Notamacropus eugenii: one gene and its partner. The protein of the gene in region 1 interacts with the protein of each later gene in a pairwise test. Links are inferred from orthologs where the notes say so. Each region holds a gene or a part of one and is shown on either strand. Other genes may lie near its edges.

What was found.
Region 2: the proteins of KIFAP3 (region 1) and NCF2 interact in binary tests that used the Homo sapiens proteins (3 or more experiments, as listed by UniProt). The two-hybrid records come from large-scale screens. The link is inferred for Notamacropus eugenii from reciprocal best matches to the Homo sapiens genes KIFAP3 and NCF2.

What each region holds. Positions count from the first base shown.
Region 1 is NC_092873.1:476,270,903-476,281,481, reverse strand, and holds the start of KIFAP3 (kinesin-associated protein 3), read right to left. Parts: upstream 3,810-10,579; 5' UTR 3,725-3,809; coding exon 3,645-3,724; intron 1-3,644. UniProt on the Homo sapiens protein: Involved in tethering the chromosomes to the spindle pole and in chromosome movement. Binds to the tail domain of the KIF3A/KIF3B heterodimer to form a heterotrimeric KIF3 complex and may regulate the membrane binding of this complex.
Region 2 is NC_092873.1:461,482,304-461,492,372, reverse strand, and holds the start of NCF2 (neutrophil cytosol factor 2), read right to left. Parts: upstream 4,446-10,069; 5' UTR 4,180-4,445; coding exon 4,006-4,179; intron 2,217-4,005; coding exon 2,134-2,216; intron 1-2,133. UniProt on the Homo sapiens protein: Subunit of the phagocyte NADPH oxidase complex that mediates the transfer of electrons from cytosolic NADPH to O2 to produce the superoxide anion (O2(-)).

The DNA of each region.
Region 1 (10,579 bases):
GCCTGTTCGCCAAGAAAGTAACCTTCTATAGTCTTATTTCTTTTCCCTTTTCTGGGCATTTTCCCAGCCAGTGACTTGACCTCTGAATATTCTCCTCACACCCACCTCGCCTCCTGATCTTCCCAGCCAGCGTTTGGGGTGTGAGATTCAAATGCTGCTTCCAGCCTCAGGGCTTTTGGCGGGGGCAGGGCTGCTATTCAGTATGAGATTATGTTCTGGTGCTGAGGTCGGGGCAGGGCCACCTCTCAGGCTCAGTTCCCTCAGGGGGTTTATGCACAGACCTTCCACAATGGATTCAGGCTCCCGCCTGCTTGGGGAGCCCCTGTCTGCAGCCGCCTCTCAGCTTCTACCTCCCGGGGGGGCCTGAATTATGGGGGCACCCCACTCCCCTCTCGACCCGCCAAAGAGACTCTCTCACCCACCCCTGTCACCTGTGGGTGGAGGGACTTGTGCGGCCGCTGGAGATCCCGTCCCTGAAGCCTGCTCGGATCTGTTTCTCTCGGTGCCGCAGCCGTGGCCGCAGCAGGTCTCGGCTGAGCTTTGTGTCTGCAGCGCGACGGACCTTTTGCGAGAGGTTTGCAGATCCCTCTGTGGGTGGAGGGACCCGCGTGGCCACTGGAGATCCTGTCTGTGAAGCCTGCTCGGATCTTTTCCTCTCGGTGCCGCGGCCGCGGCAGGGCTGCGCTCAGCTCCCAGTCCCGGCGCCCAGTCCGCAGTGCGAAGGACCCCCCGCAAGAGGTTTGCAGGTCTCTCTGGAACCGAAATCTCCCTCGCTCCAATGTTCCGTGGCCTCTGGGTGCGGAATTCGCCGTGAGTTACTTCCCTGTAGCCATTCTATGGGTTGTGGGTTCAGAGCTATGTGTATGTGCGTCTTTCTACTCCGCCATCTTGGCTCCGCCCCCCCAAAACAAATTTAAAAACTCCAACATCAGAGGGAGGAGCATGACATGAAGAATGTAAGGATGATTATAAGAAAGAATTAAAAACCTGTGATATAGCTGCGTGTGTGTGTTTATAAACATAGAAAAAAACAACAATTTATCTGGAGGAATAAAAAGGCAAGAATCTCAAAGGAAGTAATAAAAAAAGTGGGAAGTAAGGGAGATTAGCATTAAACAAAATTACATGCAATTACAAGGAAAAGCTTTTCCTCTTTCCTCAAGATGGAATTAAACTACAAATCTGTAATCATCAAAATTATTTGGTAAAGGTTTAAAAACTAGGAGATACAAAATAGGCACTTAATAAATGTTCACTGATTAGTGGAACAGATTGGGCATACAACATATGGAAGCAAATGAACACAGTACCATAGAGTTTGATAAATCCAAGGACTAGATGCTGGGGAAAGGATTCACTATTTGAAAAGAAGGAAAAAAAAAACCTACTGGAAAAATATGAACTGTTTAGCAAAAATTAGACATTGACCAACATCTTACACCATGTAACCAAGATAAGCTCCTAATGAATATGACTTAGACATAAGCTTAACATTATAAACAAATTGAGAGGAGCAAGGAAGAAATTTCCTGTTGGGTTGGGCCTATGGGAGAGAGAAAGATCATGACCAAGCAAGGGACAAAGATGTCAAAAGAAAAAGTGGACAATTTTGATTATGGAAAATTTAAAAGGTTTTGCACAACAAAACCCGTGCAGATAGGATCAGAAAGAAAACAGTTAAATAAGGACAAATCTTCGCAGGAAATTTCCCTGATACAGGTCTCATATTCAAGATATTTATTCCTAAGAACAGCACCCATCTCCCAATAAATAAATGGTTAAAAGCTATAGACAGTTTTCAAAAGAATAAATCCAAGTTATCAATAATTACATGAATAAAATTCCTGAAATCACTTAATAAAGTAAATTCAAGTTAAAGTAACTTTGAGATCCTATCTCCAACCCTTCGGATTGGCAAAAAAGACAAGAAAGGAAAATGACTATTGTTAGAGAGGCTGTGGGAAAATACGCTTACAAATAAAAGTATTTGTGAAGTTTTAATTTTATCTAGTCATCATGGAAATCAATTTGAGAGAGGGAGAGAGACAGAGAGAAATTATATGTAAGTTTGTCTAGGTTGATAATCACAAGAGAAGAATGACATCTCTGAAAAGGAACTGGCAGAGAGAGTGGGTAAAATTTTTACTTTCTTTTTATATAAATTATATGTTTTCATAGTCAAATAATTTTTTGTAAATACCCATATGACTCACTGGGCACAAAACCCAAGTAAGCTGAAACAGGCATAGTTCCTGTCCTTTAGTACTTTACAATGAAATTAAGCTATAATTATTCTGTAGTCTTAGTTCTGAGCTCCTTTAACATCCCCATTCTTTTGATCTCAACAACTCAGTTAAGTCAGTCAGTAAATATTCACAGGATGCAGGGTACTGGTAGCCTTAGGTGCTTTGGGATATATAACAAAAATTAGATACAGTCCCTACTCTTCAGGAAGCTTACGTGACAAACGTGCGATCAGCCTAAGTGTATATAAATACACTAATTTCAAGAACATCCCAGAGGAGAGTTAAGAATTGTATTGATGACTGAAGACTGCTTGCTGTTACTTTTGGAAAACTTTTGCAGTGATTTAAAGGATAGGAGTGAACTCCTTCCTTAAAGAGGATGGAAATAAATACCCTATTCTGTGCCCTTTGGGCAGTCTTGTTCAAAATGAAGAGATGGAAAAGGAAGACCAAAGTATAAAGGGCAGCAAGAAGGTTAATGTGGTTGGGAAAATGTGGAGGGTAGGTAGGAAAAGAAATGGGGAAGGATTGAATATCAGAACATATAAAAAGGATGGGGTTATTTAACTGGTGAAAGAGACTTGAGAGCCATGACCAGATGTTGTCCCAGGGATCAGAAATTGACACAAGATCCATTTAGAGATGTTACATTGTTGCTGTTGTCAGTTTTCTCAATTATGTCTGACCCATTGGGGGTTTTCTTGGAAAACATACTGGAGTGGTTTGCCATTTTCTTCTCCAGCTCATTTTACAGATGAAGACCTTGAGGCCAACAGGGTTAAATGACTTGTCCAGAGTCCCACAGCTACTAAGTATCTGAAGCCCAATTTGATCTCAGGAAGAAGAGTCTTCTTGACTCAAGCCTGGCTCTTGATGCGCTATGGCACCACCTAGCTGCCCTAGAAGTGTTATAAACTACAAGAAAATCAAGAGCAACTAGGCGATTGGAAAGTGAAGACTTGACAGTATCACGGAAGACAGAAGACGTATAGGACAAGAAAGAACAATTTGCTGACACGTCTAGTGAGGTGAAATTAAATTTTTTTGGTATAGATATAGACTCTGTGTGTGTGTGTCTGTGTGTTAAGTAACAATGAAAAGACATAATAAAAAAGTATTTTAATTGACTCGTCAATTATTTCCTCATGGGACAGATAACTTGAGCTTAAAGAGAAATTCAATTTACTTCAATTCAACACGCCTTCATTGAGGGCCTTCAGTACGTGAGTGCTTAGACAAGAAAACAAAAAGTCCTCAATGAGTTTACATTCTGCTGTCTGAAAACTACAGGTGCCTGGGAAGCATCTGAGGCTTAAGATAACAGAAGAACCAGTCCTTCAAACACACTCAGAACCTTTCAACATCAATAGCCTCTGCTTTCTCACGAGCCTTCCTTACCTGGTTACGGCCTTTGGGATGTCATCAAAGGGCCACTGAGGCCCAAAGAGCCCGCTTCCACTGCCTATTAATGCAGTCATCTTCCCACCTTTCAAGTTAACCTGAGCTCACATTGCACACCTTACTGCAAAGGAGTCTTCAGTTGAAAAGGCATTTCAAAGAAATCTGCTCCCTGATGACCTCCCCCCACCCCGCCTTGTTTACAGCTGGCGTGACAGAGAGGGCAACAACTATGACATCATCACACTCCCAGTAAGCTCTGGATGAAGAGGGAGACAAAGTCCCACTATGACAATGGCATTCGATCTCTTTACGTTTCTCCTTTCTCATTCTTTTTGGGGCCCAAATTATGTTTTGAGAATCCAGTGAGATAAAGCAGTGTGATGTATCTCACTCAAATGTGTTTAATAATGATGTAGTTGTTATCCAAATATATGTTTCATTTCAGTTGGACAGATATTTATTGATTGTATTTCTACTATGTGAAAGTCACTTCCCAAGGAGTCACGGTGGACACAAAGACACATAATGATACGCAAGTCTCTGCCCTTGAGGAATTTATATTCTAAATGTAGGCTGTATAGAAGAAGTATATACAAAAAATCAGTAAAAGGAGTAGAAAACAGAGACTATGAAAGTTCACAGGAGAGATGGGTTACATCTAACTGAGGGAGCCCAAGGAAGAATACCTAGATAAAGTGATATCTGAGCTGGACCTTAAAGGAAAAACGGAATTTCAACTGACAGATTTAAGGGAGAGAGGACATTCTCATCACAAGAAATACTTTGAACAATAGTCACAAGTGCTAGATACATCAGGCTATATTCAAGGGACTATAACCATCCCCAGTTAGTTGGAGTAGAGGACATTTGAATGAGATGAATAGCAAGGTAAGAACAAGAATGTAGGTTGGAGCAGGGTTATGGAGGGTCATGAATTCTAGAATAAGCAGTTTGAAATTTATAGATGGGAATCTATGGGAAACTATAGAAGGTTTTGTGAAAGAGAAATGTGATCAGGTCTATTCGTTAGGAAGATCAGTTTGGCAATGTTATATAAGGTGGATAAGGCAAAGAATATGAAAGTGAGGAGATTAGAATCATAGAACAAAAAAATTTAGAGTTAAAATGAACCTTCATGGACGTCTATTCTAAGCAGTTCCTGGGTAAGAATCTCCTCTAAAATAACCCAAAGTAGTCATGCAGCTTTTGTCTGAAAATTTCCACCAAAGGAGACCCACCACTTCCCAAGGTAGCTTATTCAACTTCTGGACAGATCTAGTTCTTAGGAAATGTTACCTTATATCAAGCTATAAAGTTCACCTACTCATTCTCATACACCAATGATCTCTCCTTTAAAAATGGCTCCCAGACTAAACGTAATATTTTCACTTCCTTCATTTTTACTTTTAATAATGAAGCCCAACATTATGTTAGCTTCATTACTAATCATATCATTGTTTCTATATTTTTTTCCAGCAATATTCATTGTCCAACACATGGTTAGTTTTATATGTGTATGTATATACACATATATGTATATATGCATACACACACATATATGTTTATATACACACATACATAGGAATATGTGTGTTGTATCTATATGTGTATGTATTTGTGTGTTTGTTGTCTCCTGGATAATGCAGTGATACTTTCAGCTGTGCTTACCTTCTAGCATGTTCTTATATGGTGAACAATTTTTGTTCAACTTATCGGCTCATCTCTATCATGCTGTCAGAAAATTTCATTTCGGGGTTTGAAATATTCAGTGAATTTGGAGCTAGAGGGAGCACGTTGATTGCCAAAATTCTTCATTTCAGAACAGGACCAACTGAATATGGAAAATGGTTTTGTAGCAGCAAGTTACAGAATCATGTAATTTTAAAGCTGGAAGAGAGTGACAGTTGACACTGATCTTGGCTGTTGACAGAAATGTCCACTGGAAGCAGGTATTATGTTATTTGGTCACTGAGGAGCATGTACTTGTCCTATTATGGGTTACAAGACCAGAAGGAACATTGGAGATCATTTTAGTCCAAGCTTTTCTTTTTACAATGAGAATATTGGGCTCCAGAGAGAGGAGGTTAATATCCCAGGGTCATGTGGGTAGTATGTGTGGTTGGGATTAAAATCCAAGTGTCCTGACTCTAAATCTAGTTTGGATTCCGCTCTCTTCCACTACTTCTCTTCATTTCTGCAGATAGAGATCATCTTGCTGGGGTACTTGAAATAGTTACAACTTTCATCACAACAGCCTTGTGGAAGGAAACTCTAACTAAAGAGGAAGAAAGAAAGAGAAAAATAGTATGCTTTAGTTTTTATTAGGTGTCATCAGTTCTTTTTTTGGAAGCAGCATCACGAGTCCTTTGAGATTGTGTTGAATCATTGCATTGCTGAAAATAGCTAAGTCATTCATAGATGTTTATTGTATAATATTGCTGTTACTGGGTACAAGGTTCTCCTGGTTCTGCTCACTTCACTTTGCATCAATTCATATAAGTCCTTTCCAGGTTTTTCTGAAATGATCCTAATCATCATTCTTATAACACAATAATATTCCATTACAATTATATACAACAACTTGTTCAGCCATTCCCCATTGATGTTCATGCTCAAGGTGTCATTTTTGACCTCATAAGTATCACCAAGAATTGGTGGAATGAGATCTATAACTGGAATAAAGCTATGGAGGAATATACCTTATCCCAAAGAATCATGATAGCTAAGACGGGGGAGGCAAGAGAAATATTGGATACTAATTTATCACTTAGAGGGTACATTTGCTCACAAGTATTGTCCAGTATATCCTGACTCTAGGTACTTTCATGGAATAGCAACCACTCCATGAGCTATAACTAATGGGACATATTTTGATCAAAGCAAAAGTATTTAATAAAATAACATAATAAGAAAAGAAGGTATGGAATTATCCTCCTCTAAAATTGGAGCACATTCTCCCTCAAATATACTCACCATCAACAGGAAAAATGGACATTTATAGATCTCAGACATGGGAGAGCATACTTGTAAGGGAAAGTATGTGGCTAGGATTTGTATGTGTTCAGTTTAACGCCTGATAATACAAGGCTACTGCTGTTCTCTGGTGATGCCATCATATTGCTCTCTTTTCTTTCTTTTGGGCATCACTTTGTTGGTATCATGAGTGCCACCTGGTTTATAGTCTCTTCTGGGCATTTTCCTCTCTTCCTTCCTTCCTTTCCTTTCCTTTCCTTTCCTTTCCTTTCCTTTCCTATCCTTCCTTCCTTCCTTCCTTCCTTCCTTCCTTCCTTCCTTCCTTCCTTCCTTCCTTCCTTCCTTCCTTCCTTCCTTCCTTCCCTCCTGCCTGCCTGCCTGCCTGCCTTTCTTTTTTTTTTTTTTGCAACTCCTACGCATTATTCCTAGTTTTACCCTAGAGGACAAATAAAAACAAATCTAATGACAGTTCTTCAAATATCTGAAAATAATCGGTGCATTCTGTCTTCTCTTCTCCATATTAAGTACCCTCATTTCATTCAACTTGTCCTTAAAAGAATTGAACTTCCTGATGATTCTTCTCTGGATAAACTTTAGTTTGTCAATGCACTTCCTAAAATATGGCACCTAGAACTGAACACAGTACTCTAGGTGAATTCTAACTAGGGTAAAGCACAGTGAGACTGTCACCTTGCTAGTCCTGTATGCTATGCCACTCTTAATGTAAACTAAAATTCCTTAGGCTTTTTTTGACTAACATATCATACCACTAACTGGTACTGAGCTTGCATTCTACTAAAACCCCCCAGTTCCTTGTAAAATGAACTAATTTCTAGTCATTTCTCCTGTCTTAGTTAATTCTAATTTTAAAATTTAAAACTGATTCTTTGCATCTCAAGTATAGAAATATCTCATTAAATTTTATTGTATTATATTTGGCTTAGCATTCTAAACTGTTGAGCTAATTTTGGATCTTCTATCCATCTCAGTTTTGTGTCATTAAAAAACTTGATATGTGTCTGTGTCTTCATTCCAGTCAATGATGAAAACATTGTCCAACATAAGACCTTGCACAGATTTACATGTCATTTTATCAGATGTCTCCCTCCAAGGTGACATTGAAACATCGATGGTTCCTCTTTCATCCCAACTAATTCAACCAATTCTGTATCTAACTGACTATGATGAACTCTAGCTCATATCTCTATCTTGTCTACAAAGATAGAATGAGAGGCTCTGTAAAATGCTAGCTGAAATCTAGGTAATCTATGTCTACAGATTTCCCTTACTCTATTAGCTTATTAACTTTGTTAAAATCAGACAAGGTGAATCTGGGATGACTCACCATGTTCATTTACCAATGGGCTGACATACTCCTAGAGGAACTGACTCATCAATATTGACAATCTTACTATAAAAGATAGTAAAGTAGATAGGAAGTTGCAGCTAAATGAAAAGACTGTCTTTGGAGAGACACATTAATGCATTTGACAGAGGTGGTTTTCTTTGTATTACCAAAGCCCCCCCCCCCCCCAAAAAAAATCACTTCATGACAGATATGCCTATAATAGATATATACACATGGTGCTTACCATGAAGCTTATAGAAAACCTCAGAGCTGATAAGCGACTTCAGAGCCATGGAATCCAGCCTATATCTGGCCAAGAATTTCTTTCACAAAAGCCCCGCACCTTCAATTAAAGGGAGCTGATTCCCTCTCCAACCCACTTTACTTTGTCATTGTTGTTCAGCCATTTTCATCACATCTGACTCTGTGACCCCATTTAGGGTTTTCTTGGCAGATACTGGAGTGGTCTGTCATTTCCTTCTCCAGCTCATTTTACAGATGTAGAACTGAGGCAAACTACATTAAGTGACTTGTCCAAGGTCACACAGCTAATAGGCGTAAGATCAGATTTGAACTCAGGAAAACAAGTCTTCCTGACTCCAGATCTGATACTGTATTCGCTATGCCACCCAGCAGCCCCTTTGAATAGCTCTAATTATTTGGAAATTTTTCCTGACTTCAAATCTAGATATACCTCTTCTCATCATTTATTTATTACTCCTAGTTTTGCCTTCTGGGGCTAAACAAAACAAGCTTAACTACTTTTTCATTTGCTAGCCCTTCAAATAATTGGATACAACTATCACATCTCCCCTAAATTTTCTCTTCCAGGCTAAACATCCCCAGCTCCTTCAACCAGTTCTCATGTGATTATATTGGTTAATCTTCTTACATTTCTGGTTTGCTCTTTTTAAAGCACATTCTGGTTTTTCTAAATGTTTATAAATATTATAAATGCTCCATATGTTTCCCCCAAACCTTGCACTCCTCCAAACTTCTCTATTTTTTGTCAAGGACATCACTGTTTTCCTAGACACTCAAACATACAGCCCAAGAGTCATCTTTTACTCCTCAATGTCTCACATAAACCCCACCACTACCTAAACTGCCCCACCCCCATATCCCAATCTGTTGCCAAGGCCGGTCAACTTAACTTTCACAATATCTCTCAAGTATGCCCTCTTCTCTGCTCCAACACTGCCACTGATCTAGCGCATGTACTTATCACCTTATATTTTGTATTATTTCAATAGCCCACTATATGTATAGGGTATATAGGGTGTATAGGGTATCAGGCCTTGAGTCAGGAAGACTCATCTTTGTGTGTTCAAATCTGACCTTAGACACTAGCTGTTTGACCCTGGACAAGTCATTTAATTTTGTTTGCCTCAGTTTCCTTATCTGTAAAATGCGCTAGAGAAGAAAATGGCAAACAACTCCAGAATCTTTGCCAAGAATACCCCAAATGGGGTCATGAAGAGTTGGATATTACTGAAAAAAAAAGAAAGCTGGTGAGTCTACCTGCCTCAGTCTGTTTCCATTCCAGTCCATCCTCCATTAAATCACCAACTGATTTTCCTAAAGCATAGGTCTGATCATGCCACTCTCTTACTCAATAAACTCAAATGGCCCCCAGGATCATATGCCAAATCCTCTATTTGATGTTCAACATCCTTCATATCTGAGCACACCTACTTTCCCCCATCCCCCCTGCCCCCACCCATTTACTCCTCAATTTAGTGACACTGGCCTCTTTGCCATTCTGCAAACAAGACATTCTCTATCTCTTGCCTCTGGCCATTCTCTCTGTCCTCCAAGCCTAGAATGGTCTCCCTCCACATCTCTACCTCCTGGCTTCTCTCAAGTATCAGCAAAAGTCCCATTTTCTTCAGGAAGGCTTTCCTATTAATTTTCTCCTTAATTCTCATCCCTCTCCTCTGTTAATTATCTCCAATTTATTCTGTATGGCTTTGAAGTTGGCCACAGGCTTTAGCTGGGATGATCTCTAATGATCCTTCTGATGTCGTGGTTCATAAGTTAAAGGTTAAGACTTTAGAGAAAATTATTTTCTTTGGGTTTAGACTTATGATTTAACCAATGTGGTGATGTCCCTGGTGTTCAAACTACTCCTACCAATGAAATTTAGCAGCTCATTTGTAAGCTCACCAACTCTGAGAGTTACCTGGGGCAGTGAAGAGGACAAGTAGTATAGTATAGCTAGAATACATAAGAAAGCAATACTTGTACCTAGATCGTCCTAACTCCTAGGCCAGCCATCTATCCACTATGGGAAATATTATTTTTAAATAATGAAAACAGTCTTTAAAAGAGTGTTTTGCTGATTGTCTTAATTTCCCACCCACCCTCACCCTCATGTACATTTATTTTTTTTCTATCTTGTGGTTTTTACTTGTCAGAGAATTATTTGTTCTGTTTTGATTTATGAGAAAGGTTGTTGTCAAGTTGAACCATATGAAGCCACTGGAGCTTTGAATTCAGTAAAACCAGCTTTCCAAAATTATAGTTTTACCAAATCCTAAGCCCATATTGTTCCAAGTACTCTTTCTCCCACAAATGTTTAATATAATGTACTTTAAAATGGAACCCACAA
Region 2 (10,069 bases), about 15 Mb from region 1:
TGTGTGTGTGTGTGTGTGTGTGTGTGTGTGTGTGTGTGTGTGTGTCTGTGTGTGAAGGCAGTTAGGGTTAATTGACTTGCCCAGGGTCACACAGATAGTAAGTGATTGGATTTGAATTCAGGTCCTCTTGTCCCCAGTGCTCTATCCACTAACTGCTGTTTCATTGTTATTCATCACATCTTAATTGAGACCTGGTAGCCAGATGGTGTAGAAGATAGGGCACTGGCCCTGAGTCTGGAAGATCTGAATTCAAATTTGACCTCAGATTTTTACTAGCTGTGTGATTCTGGGTAAGTCACTTAACCTCTGTCTACCTCAGTTTCCTCAACTGTAAAATAGGAATGATAATAGCACTCACCTTACAGGGTTGTTATGAAGATCAAATGAGATAAGTTTTGTAACACATCTGGCACATAGTAGGCACTTAACAAATATTGATTTCCTTCCCCCTCTCTTTTCCCCAGACTTTGATGAGAATATTCTGTTCCAACTTGTCCTGACTGAACCCAATTTCTCTGATGCTTGGGGTCTTCAGGATGATTCACTGTCAGAAGTCCCTCTGAAGGGCCTGTGGTTTCACTCCATCACTTTCACAAACGGTCTGTTCCCCCTGATAAAATGACTAGAGCTGATGAGAGGAATGGCTTTACTTTATCTTCCTAGTTGGAGTCAGCTGGAAGACGTGTCCTGTGCTCCCTTTGGCTCTCTCTATGGATTCCCTCTGGAGTAATCAAAGAACAGAGAGAACACCAAGCATGTGGAGTATCATTCTGAAAGGGCAGAAGCCCTCATGCCTAGCACCTGTATTTCCACTCAAATGTTTCTTTCCACATGAACTGTCTTCTCTGTCTCCTTTTCTCATAAAAAAAAAGACCCTTCAAGATCTTTGCCTCTTTGTAGAAATTTGTAGATGATGTTGCCCCTAGCAACAGCTGCCTTTTACAGACTGCTTCTGAAGCAAACCCTCTGAAGCAAACAATTAAAAACCGTTTTTTTTGAACTTTAAGTGGGATTCTTAAAAGCAGATGTTGACTGAAGTGAGACATAGTTTTCAAGAGTTTTTATGCCAGACCTCATTAAAACATAGGTCTACTACAGATGTGGTTATAACATTCCCCAAAACATTCCCACAAACAATAATAACAGATATATATTTATATGTGTGTGTGTATGTATATGCATAATATAATACTTTAGGGTTTTCAAAGCACTTTCCAAATAATATCTCATTTGATCCTCACAACAACCCTGGGTGGAGGGGAGAAGATTCCAGTATTATCATCATTTAATAGATGAGAAAACTGAGGCAAACAGAGGTGAAGTGAATTGTCCAGGATTACATAAATATTTGAGATCAGGTCTTCCTGACTCCGTATCCAGCACTCGATTCACTGCCCAACCTTACCAATCGGAAGTGGTAATAATACCTATTACCATAGCATTGATATTAGCCCTATAGAAATATTTTCAATAGTTATTTGTTTATTTTATTGGTCCTATAATTTCCTTGGCATAGGAAACTCCCAGTAAGAAAGCTCCCTCTAATAATCCAGATAAGCAACTTCCTCTAATTTACAATGTTAGAGAACTGAATTAGGTTACTACTGAGAGGGTAGGTGAGCTGCCTCGGGGTCATTCAGACAGCATATATCTGTGGAGAGACTTGGAGTCCGGTCTTCCCGTGTCTGAAGCAGCAGTATCTATCACAATATGCTCTGTCGAGGTTTGACCGTGTCTGAGTTTACTGCATAATGACAAGAGAGGCAGCAGGCTGTAGTGGGAAGGATACTAAATCTGAATTTAGCAGGCCCCAATGTTGAGCCCCAGCTCTGATGCTTACTGCCTATATGATCTTGGAAAGTCATCTAACTTCTCTGAGTCTCAGTTTCTTCTTTTGTAAAATAGAAATAATAACTCTTGAACCACCTATCCTCCCGGAGGGTTACTATGAAGAAAGGACTTTGCAAAACTATAGACATGTGAACTCTGCTTAATTACTCATATTTCATTCAGTCTAGAGTCAAACTTCTTGATATAAAACTAGGAAAAACTTTTAGTGAACACAGAGCAAAACCCACATCCCTCCTGGTACCCTCATGTCATTCCCAACATTGTGTGATATCAAAGACTTACTTCTCCATCCTATAAAAGACCATCCCTCGTTGGAAATAAGCCACTGCTAAATGTTTGTCTCGGTTTATGCTCCCAGTAAAAGCCTGTAAGAAAGAGAAAGTGTTTTTGTGTATAGGTTTGTAAGAGTAAAAAGCTGGTGATAAGAGTTAAGGCAGTCACCTTAGGCTGAGAGCTGAGGATGGCTGGTGTCTGGAAGAGAGCTATCTGGAGGCTGGGCAAAGGGAGCCAGATTTTATGGCTACCTCTGGGGATGACAAAGGCACAAAGTCAGAAGGGAATATCAAGAAAGACAAGGAGTTAGAAGGACAATAGGTGGAGGAAGAAGAGGAGGAAGAGGAGAAATAAAGTTCAAGATTTTTTAAAACTAGGAGTAGAAGGAAAATAGGGATATATACACATACAAACATATATGTATGCATGTGTATCCACATATATGTACACACATGCATATATACACATGTGTATATGTATATATGCATGTGTATACACACATATATGTATACACACACACACAAACGTTCCATTCCAACCTTCTCCATTGTTGCTAAGCTTTTGACAAAAAGCACCTCATAGGGGTAAACTCTAAAACTATCACCAGTAAGTATAGATGTCCTTGTATTCTCTCCCTAACTTTCTACTTTTTCCTTGTCTACACACTTTTTTTCCAGGAGGGCTCACTATCTCTTGTGCATCCTATCTGTCCTTTGGACCAACTGCCGTTTACTAAGAAATCCACTCTTTATCCTTGAAGCATATCTGTTTATATTCTTATCTCCAACCAGCACATATAGATATCAGAACTAGAATCTATTTGTGGATTGCCTCTGGGGTCACTTGTTTGACTACCTGACCTACTTATCTGTGCATAAATTTAATGCTTGACATCACTGAGATAGCTCCTCCCTGAAACCGTTGCTGATCCTAACTCTCTATCCCCTCACCCCAAGCTGGTAATCAATTTTCCTCTCCCTCCGTTGTGGAGCTCATATGAATTCTATGAGTTGCTATGAGACTCAAGAAGATCACCGGCCTCATGTTCCTGAAGGTGGTACTGGGTGAGGGAGTCGGGTTCCACCTTATCCTGAAGCCAACAAAGACTTCAAAGTTTCAGAACACAGGTCTCCATTAGACATAGGGATGCTTGTCTCCAGGTTGCAGTATGGAGAAAATATGTGCGCACCCCTGTCCCCCAAAAGTATATTTTCCTGGAAGATGGCACACTGGGGCAAATGCCTAAGGGGCCCTATCCTAGTTAAGGTTTTGGGCCAACAACTGAGAGAAGTCAAATATATTCATCCATACCAATATGTCCATTTACTATCTGTAAATACCAGATCTTTCATGACTAAACTCTTTCATCCACTCCATGATAACATAGACCTGCCTGTATTCAGTTTACTCTAGTAGAGGAATATGACACATACATAGATAACTACAAGGAAAGACTTTGTGGAGGAGGTAGTATAATTTACATATAACATTAAAATCTTTCACAATTTGATTCACATCCATCTTCTCAGGCAACTTATTATCTAGTTGGGAAGATGGTACTGATTGGCATGAAAGATTAAACTGTGTGGGTCTCTCATCCTGGTAGAGTGTTTGGTATATGATAGCCATTTAATTGTCAAATGAATTAGAGATTAACATGAGATAGTTTAAAAACATATGCTAAGTTGTCTGCTCCAAGTGGCACAAGAAGAGTTCAGAGAAGGGGGAATAGTCAAAGAAGGCTTCCTAGAGAGGACAGATTTCAATGGATGGATCCAATTTGGAGGTGGGCAAGAGAAGAGACCATCCCACATCAGGAGACATGATTGTGCATGAAGATACCACGAAAGCACAAAGCAGAAGTAAGAGTCTTTCACTTACCTTTTCTGCCTCCTGCAGGTTTTCCAGAATCATATAGATACAGCCTATGTTGAAGGAAATCCGGGAATGGGGGTCCTGAACTCCAGTGAAGGCCTTTAAGGCTCCATGCCAGTCCTTCTTGTCTGCTGCCAGCACCCCTTCATTCCAAAGGCGTATCACCTCAGCTAAGGACATGGCCAGATGAGAATTGGGAGGCAAAGACCCAGACTGTGCCCAAAGAGCAACTTGGATTAGGCAGAACAGGGGCAGAAGAGAAAGCACTCAATGGAGAGGAAGTCTTTCCCACCAGGGCCTGTTCCCTACGGTCTCTCTTCGGCTCCCTTATTCTTGACTGGGTAGGACCAAGTGTCTTATTTTTTCCTTTCAAGTGGGTCTCAGAAGAAGATCTAGTCTTCTCCAAGCTGACTTCTCTGTGTTGTAAGCATGTCAGGAAGTGTCCTCATCTTTTAGTAACCCTGCTGAGAGGCAAGGGGAAGAAGGGAGGTGGGGGTGGAGAGGAGGGGAGGGGTGGGGAAAGAGAGGAAGTACAAGTGTTGACTGCAATGGATCAGTTCCTCTAAACTATTCTGCTCTGCCATGATCAGTCCCTCCAACTAAGTCTTACCTTTTTACTAGTGTTTCTGGGCCATGCACTGTCACTTTCTAGCTGTGTGACCTTGGATCAGTTACTTCCTCAGTTTCCCCATCTGCAAAAGGAGGGGATTGGATGTGATACTTCAGTCAAAAGTTCCCCTGAGCTCTTTTAAAAGTCATATTCATGAAATATTTATAGCAGCTTTTTTTAGTGATGGCAAAGAATTGGTAACTTGAGGGCATGCCCATCCATTGAGAAATGGTTAAATAAGTTATGGTGCGGGAATATGGTGGAATGTTATTATATTATAAGAACTGAAGAAAAGGGTAGTTTCAGAGAAACCAGAGAAGAATCATAGGAACTGATATGCAACGAAGTAGGCAAACCCAGAACAATCTATATGATGACAACAAACTACTTTGAAAGACTTAGTAACCAACTACAATTCCAGAGATTCAGGACGAAACCTGCTGCCAGCCTCATGATGGAGAGGTGATAGACCAAGAGCACAGAGACCTTTTTTTGGTCATGCTCAATACAAAAATGTGTTTTTCTTGATTATACATGCTTATAAAGGGGGTTTTAGTTTTATTACTTTCTCAGTGGGATGGGGAGGAGTGTACAGGTGGAAGGCATAGCATGCAGATCTAAAAATAAAATGAAATTTAATTTAAAAAAGCAATCCATGATTCTAAGGAACTTCCTCCATCTTTAGAGCATCACCATCTCAGCTTGGGATGCCCATTTTCAGTCATTCTTTGTTCCAACGAATAATAGTTTCTTTAGCTCTCTCCATAAAATGATATTAGAGCCTTTTCAGGCTCTGCTCTCTTTTATGAAAACTCAGAATGTTTATGGAAATCCTGGAAGCTAAACATGACTGTTGTTAGTCCAGCAAGGAAAGCTGAACCACAGAGGGGAGAAGGAACTAGACAAAGACAAGAGCTTTGGAGATTACCTTGGACTCCTGCTCATATTCAAACTGCCTTCAATGAGCACATTTAAACAGGGAGATGTTGAATGTTTGCTACTAGTGTTTCAAAAACTGTCTTCCCTAATATTGCATTAGAACCATAGGATCCTTGGAAATAAAGGGAGAGGAGATGAGAAAGACAATTTCAAGAGATAGCACAGCAGTATGGGCAGGTGTTTTGGGGTTTCTTTTTCTTTGTGTCTGTTAATGAGTTTCCATCATTCTGTGGATGTTTCCCACTCCTAGTTTCATAGAATCCTAGGTTTAGAACTGGAAGGGGCTTTGCATGCCACTTAGTCCAATTTCCTTTAGATGAGGAAGTTGATGAAGTCTGGAGATATGAAGTGACCAACCCAATATCACCCAGGTAGTTAAGTGGCAGAGCTGGAATTTGAACCCAAGACTTTTTATTCCAAAGTCAGCCTTCTTTCTACTCTATAAGTACATCTCAGCTATCTTCATACCTGGCTGTCTGCATTCTAGCCATTAACCTGATTCCCCTTTCACTGGAGCCTTGGACTGTGCCCCCCAGGATAGTAGGATCTAACAGATAGATGCAGGCATCTGTGCCACTTCATGTACCCCCTTCTTCTGATGTCCAGATTCCCTTTATATGTTGTCTCCCCTCATTAAAACATAGTTTCATTGAAGGTAGGGTCTGTCTTATTTGCTTAGCAGAGTACCTGCACATATTAAGTGATTAACAAATGTTTCATCCATACATACATTCATCCATCCATCCATCTATCTATCCATATTTCTTTTTTCTCTTTCTTTTTCTTATCTATCCACTCCATCCACCTATCTATCTATCATCTATCTATCTATCTATCTATCTATCTATCTATCTATCTATCTATCTATCTATCTATCTGTCTGTCTGTCTGTCTGTCTGTCTCTCTGTCTCTCTGTCTCTCTGTCTGTCTGTCTGTCTGTTTATCTATCTATCTAATTGCTGTCCTTTGTGATTGACTATGCTACCAAGCTACCCAAGGACTGGGTACAAGTTGTAGTATTGGGGAGTGATTGGCTCATGTCATATCACACAGTTGGCAAAGGTCATCTGTAATTTGTTATAGGGTCATAGGATCATGCTTCACTTCTGAGATTACTTCCCTCATTCTATTTCTAACATTTCCTTTTCTGGGGAATACTTGCAAAATCTTGATCATCAGGTGGTCAGGGTTAAGGGCATGACAACTACAAATTAAAATTTCCTATCCCCCTACTAAGAAAAATTGGAGCCACTGGAGAAGAATTGGAAAGTTTATAGAGCCATTTACATTGATGGCCAATGAAGTTAACTCTGTCCTTGAAAATCTGAATCTTTTTCCTATTGTCCTTAAAAGATCAATATAGCAAAACAGTACTGAAATGAAATAACTGAGGGAATTTGTTGTTGTTGGCTTGTTTCAGTCATATCTGGCTCTTCATGACCCCATTTGGGGTTTTCAAAGATACTGGAGTTTTGCCATTTCCTTTTCCAGCTCATTTGACAGACGAGGAAACTGATTTAATAAATAAATAAGAATAACTTATAATGAGCATATTAACTATAAGCAAATAAGCATTGCTAAATTGGTTTTAAAAGTTGAAAACAGCTTATCTTCTACAGTTTTGAGCACACTATTCCTTTGCTTAGGAAATAAATTTATCATAATTAAACAGAAAGGTTAGTGTTTTGCTCAATTCCTGAACAAATAACTCATTAATTTTGAATTAAGGGATTCCAGGTCTATTAATGGGGTTTTACTATCTACAATATACTAAGGTCCCTGTAGGATGAATATGGTCAGTTATAAAGCAAGTACACCCCATTTCTTTCTGTGTTTGTGGAAAAGCTGGGAAACTTATGGAACCAAAATACATAAATCCTAGGAACTCTCAACCACCATGTTGTGTGGTAGAAAGAGTGCTAGATTTGATGACAGGAGATTTGGATTACAACTCTAGCACTTACCTCTCTGGGTCTAGTTTCCTTATTTATAAAATGAAGGGATTAGACTCAACCAGGGGCTCTTAGCCTTTTATTGTGTCACAGACCCCTTGGGCAGTCTGGTGAAACTTATGGACCCCTTCTAAGACTCATCTTTCTGAGTTCAAATCTGACTTTGGACATTTACTAGCTGTGTGACCCTGGACAAGTCACTTAATCCTGTTTGCCTTATCTGTAAAATATGCTAGAGATGGAAATGGCAAATCACTCCAGTATCTTTGCCAAGAAAACCCCAAATGGGGTCATGAAGAGCCAGACAAGACTGAAACAACATATCTCTATTTTCTTTTCTCTCTCCCTCCCTTCTCTCTTCCCCTTTCCCTCCCCTCCCCTTCCCTCTCCCCTCTCCCATCTTCCCCTCTCCTCCTTTCTCCTCTCCTCTGCCTGAACCAGAAGAATGAAGTCTTCTTTTTAGTCAGCTGCCCTCCCATCTGGAATCTCTCTTCTCTCTACTCTTTCCTAGCCCCCACCCATAAATGGTGCAGAGACACTCAATAAGGAATGATGTTGGGAAATAAACTGACTTTCAAAGCCTAGTAAAGTGGTTCCCAATCTTTTCAAGTGTGAGGATCCCTTTGATAAAATATATACTCAGTATCAGTTGATTAAGAAAAGACATAATAGCTTTTAAATAAATTTATATTTTATCACAACAGCATGTACACATATTCAAATAGCATAATACAAAATATAGATGATATAAAAAAGATTAATTATAATTTTTTAAAAGAGCACATATACACATATACATGTGAGACATATTCAGTCAACAGAAGGTTTATTTGTTAAAGATCAAAATGCCCATGGCTGATAGCCTTTTTGTAGATCCTTTCTAATAACTCTGCCATTCCTCTAGGGTCCATAAATCTAAAGGAGCTATGCCTGCCTTGGCAGCAGTTCATATGAAAAAAGATCTATGAAGTGGTAAGTTTTAGTTGACCACAAGCTTACTGTAAGCCGATGGTATGATGTAGTTGCTAAGAGACCTAATATGCTAAAACAGCATTAATAAAAACTATATTGAACAAGTCAGGAGAAATAATAGTCTCACTATACTCTATTGTGGCCAGACCACATATGGAGGATTATGTTCATTTGAGTATATTCTAGTGATAGGAACAAGATTTGTGATCTTACTGGTATAAGGAGAAAGATGGCAGAGTAGAAAGACATAGATACGGAGGCTTTCCCCACACAGCCCGTAAAATACCTGTAGAGAGGGACTCTCAACAAATTCTGGAGCAGCAGAAGTGGAGAACGAGAGAGTGGAGGAGATTTCTAGCCCAGGGTGACCTGAAAGGCCCATGGGAAACATCTGTTATACAGGACATGGAGCACAGCCCAGCCCAGCCTTGGCCGTGCAGTACTGCTCTGGGAGGAGGACACCTCAGGGGCAGAATCTCCAGTCACAGTAGCAGCGAATCCCCAGTCACAGCAGTAGCAGGTTCACAGATCCCTCAACCCACAGGCGCCAAAGGTCAGTGACGGGGTTTTTTCAGTTGGCCAGGAAGGGAGAAGGGCCTTTCCATATCTCTGGCCTTAGGCAGCTGCCACAGAGGTCACATTGGCAGGCGCAGCAGCCACATCCATTGTTGGAGCATAAAAACCCTGGGGGCACTGAGGAGCTGACTCTTGCCTCAGCCCTGTGTGGAGGCCCTGGGGGAGCTGGTCTTTGTCTCACACTGAATGGCAGCCCTGCCCATCTAGCTTATCTGAAAATCAGCCCCCAGTGCTGACTTGGAAGAACTGGAGGCCAGGTGGCTGTGGAGAGGTAACTGCTAAGATTCTGGGCACAAAAATCACTCCCTACACCCAGACCAGTACACGCTTGATTGTGCCACCTTGGAGGAACTGAGATTTTACAGATTCCCAGAGAATACCCTACTCTTGACAAAGGACCCAAAAGTCAAGTAACTGGTTGGGAAAATGCCCCCAAAATGGGAAAAAAATAAGACCATAGAAGGTTACTTTCTTGATGAACAGATATCCTCTCCCATCCTTTCGATGAGGAAGAACAATGCTTACCATCAGGGAAAGACATAAAAGTCAAGGCTTCTGTATCCCAAACATCCAAAATAAATATTCAATGGTCTCAGGCCATGGAAGAGCTCAAAAAGGATTTTGAAAATCAAGTAAGAGAGGTGGAGGCAAAACTGGGAAGAGAAATGAGAGAGATGCAAGAAAAAGCATGAAAAGTGGGTCAACACGTTGCTAAAGGAGACCCCAAAAAAGGTTGAAGAAAATAACACCTTCAAAAATAGGCTAACTCAATTGGCAAAAGAGGTTCAAAAAGCCAATGAGGAGAAGAATGCTTTAAAAAGCAGAATTAGCCAAATGGAAAAGGAGGTTCAAAAGCTCACTGGAGAAAATAGTTCTTTCAAAATTAGAATGGAACAGATGGAGGCTAATGACTTTATGAGAAACCAAGAAATCACAAAAAAACCCCCCAAAAGAATGAAAAAATCGAAGATAATGTGAAATCTCTCATTGGAAAAACAACTGACCTGGAAAATAGATCCAG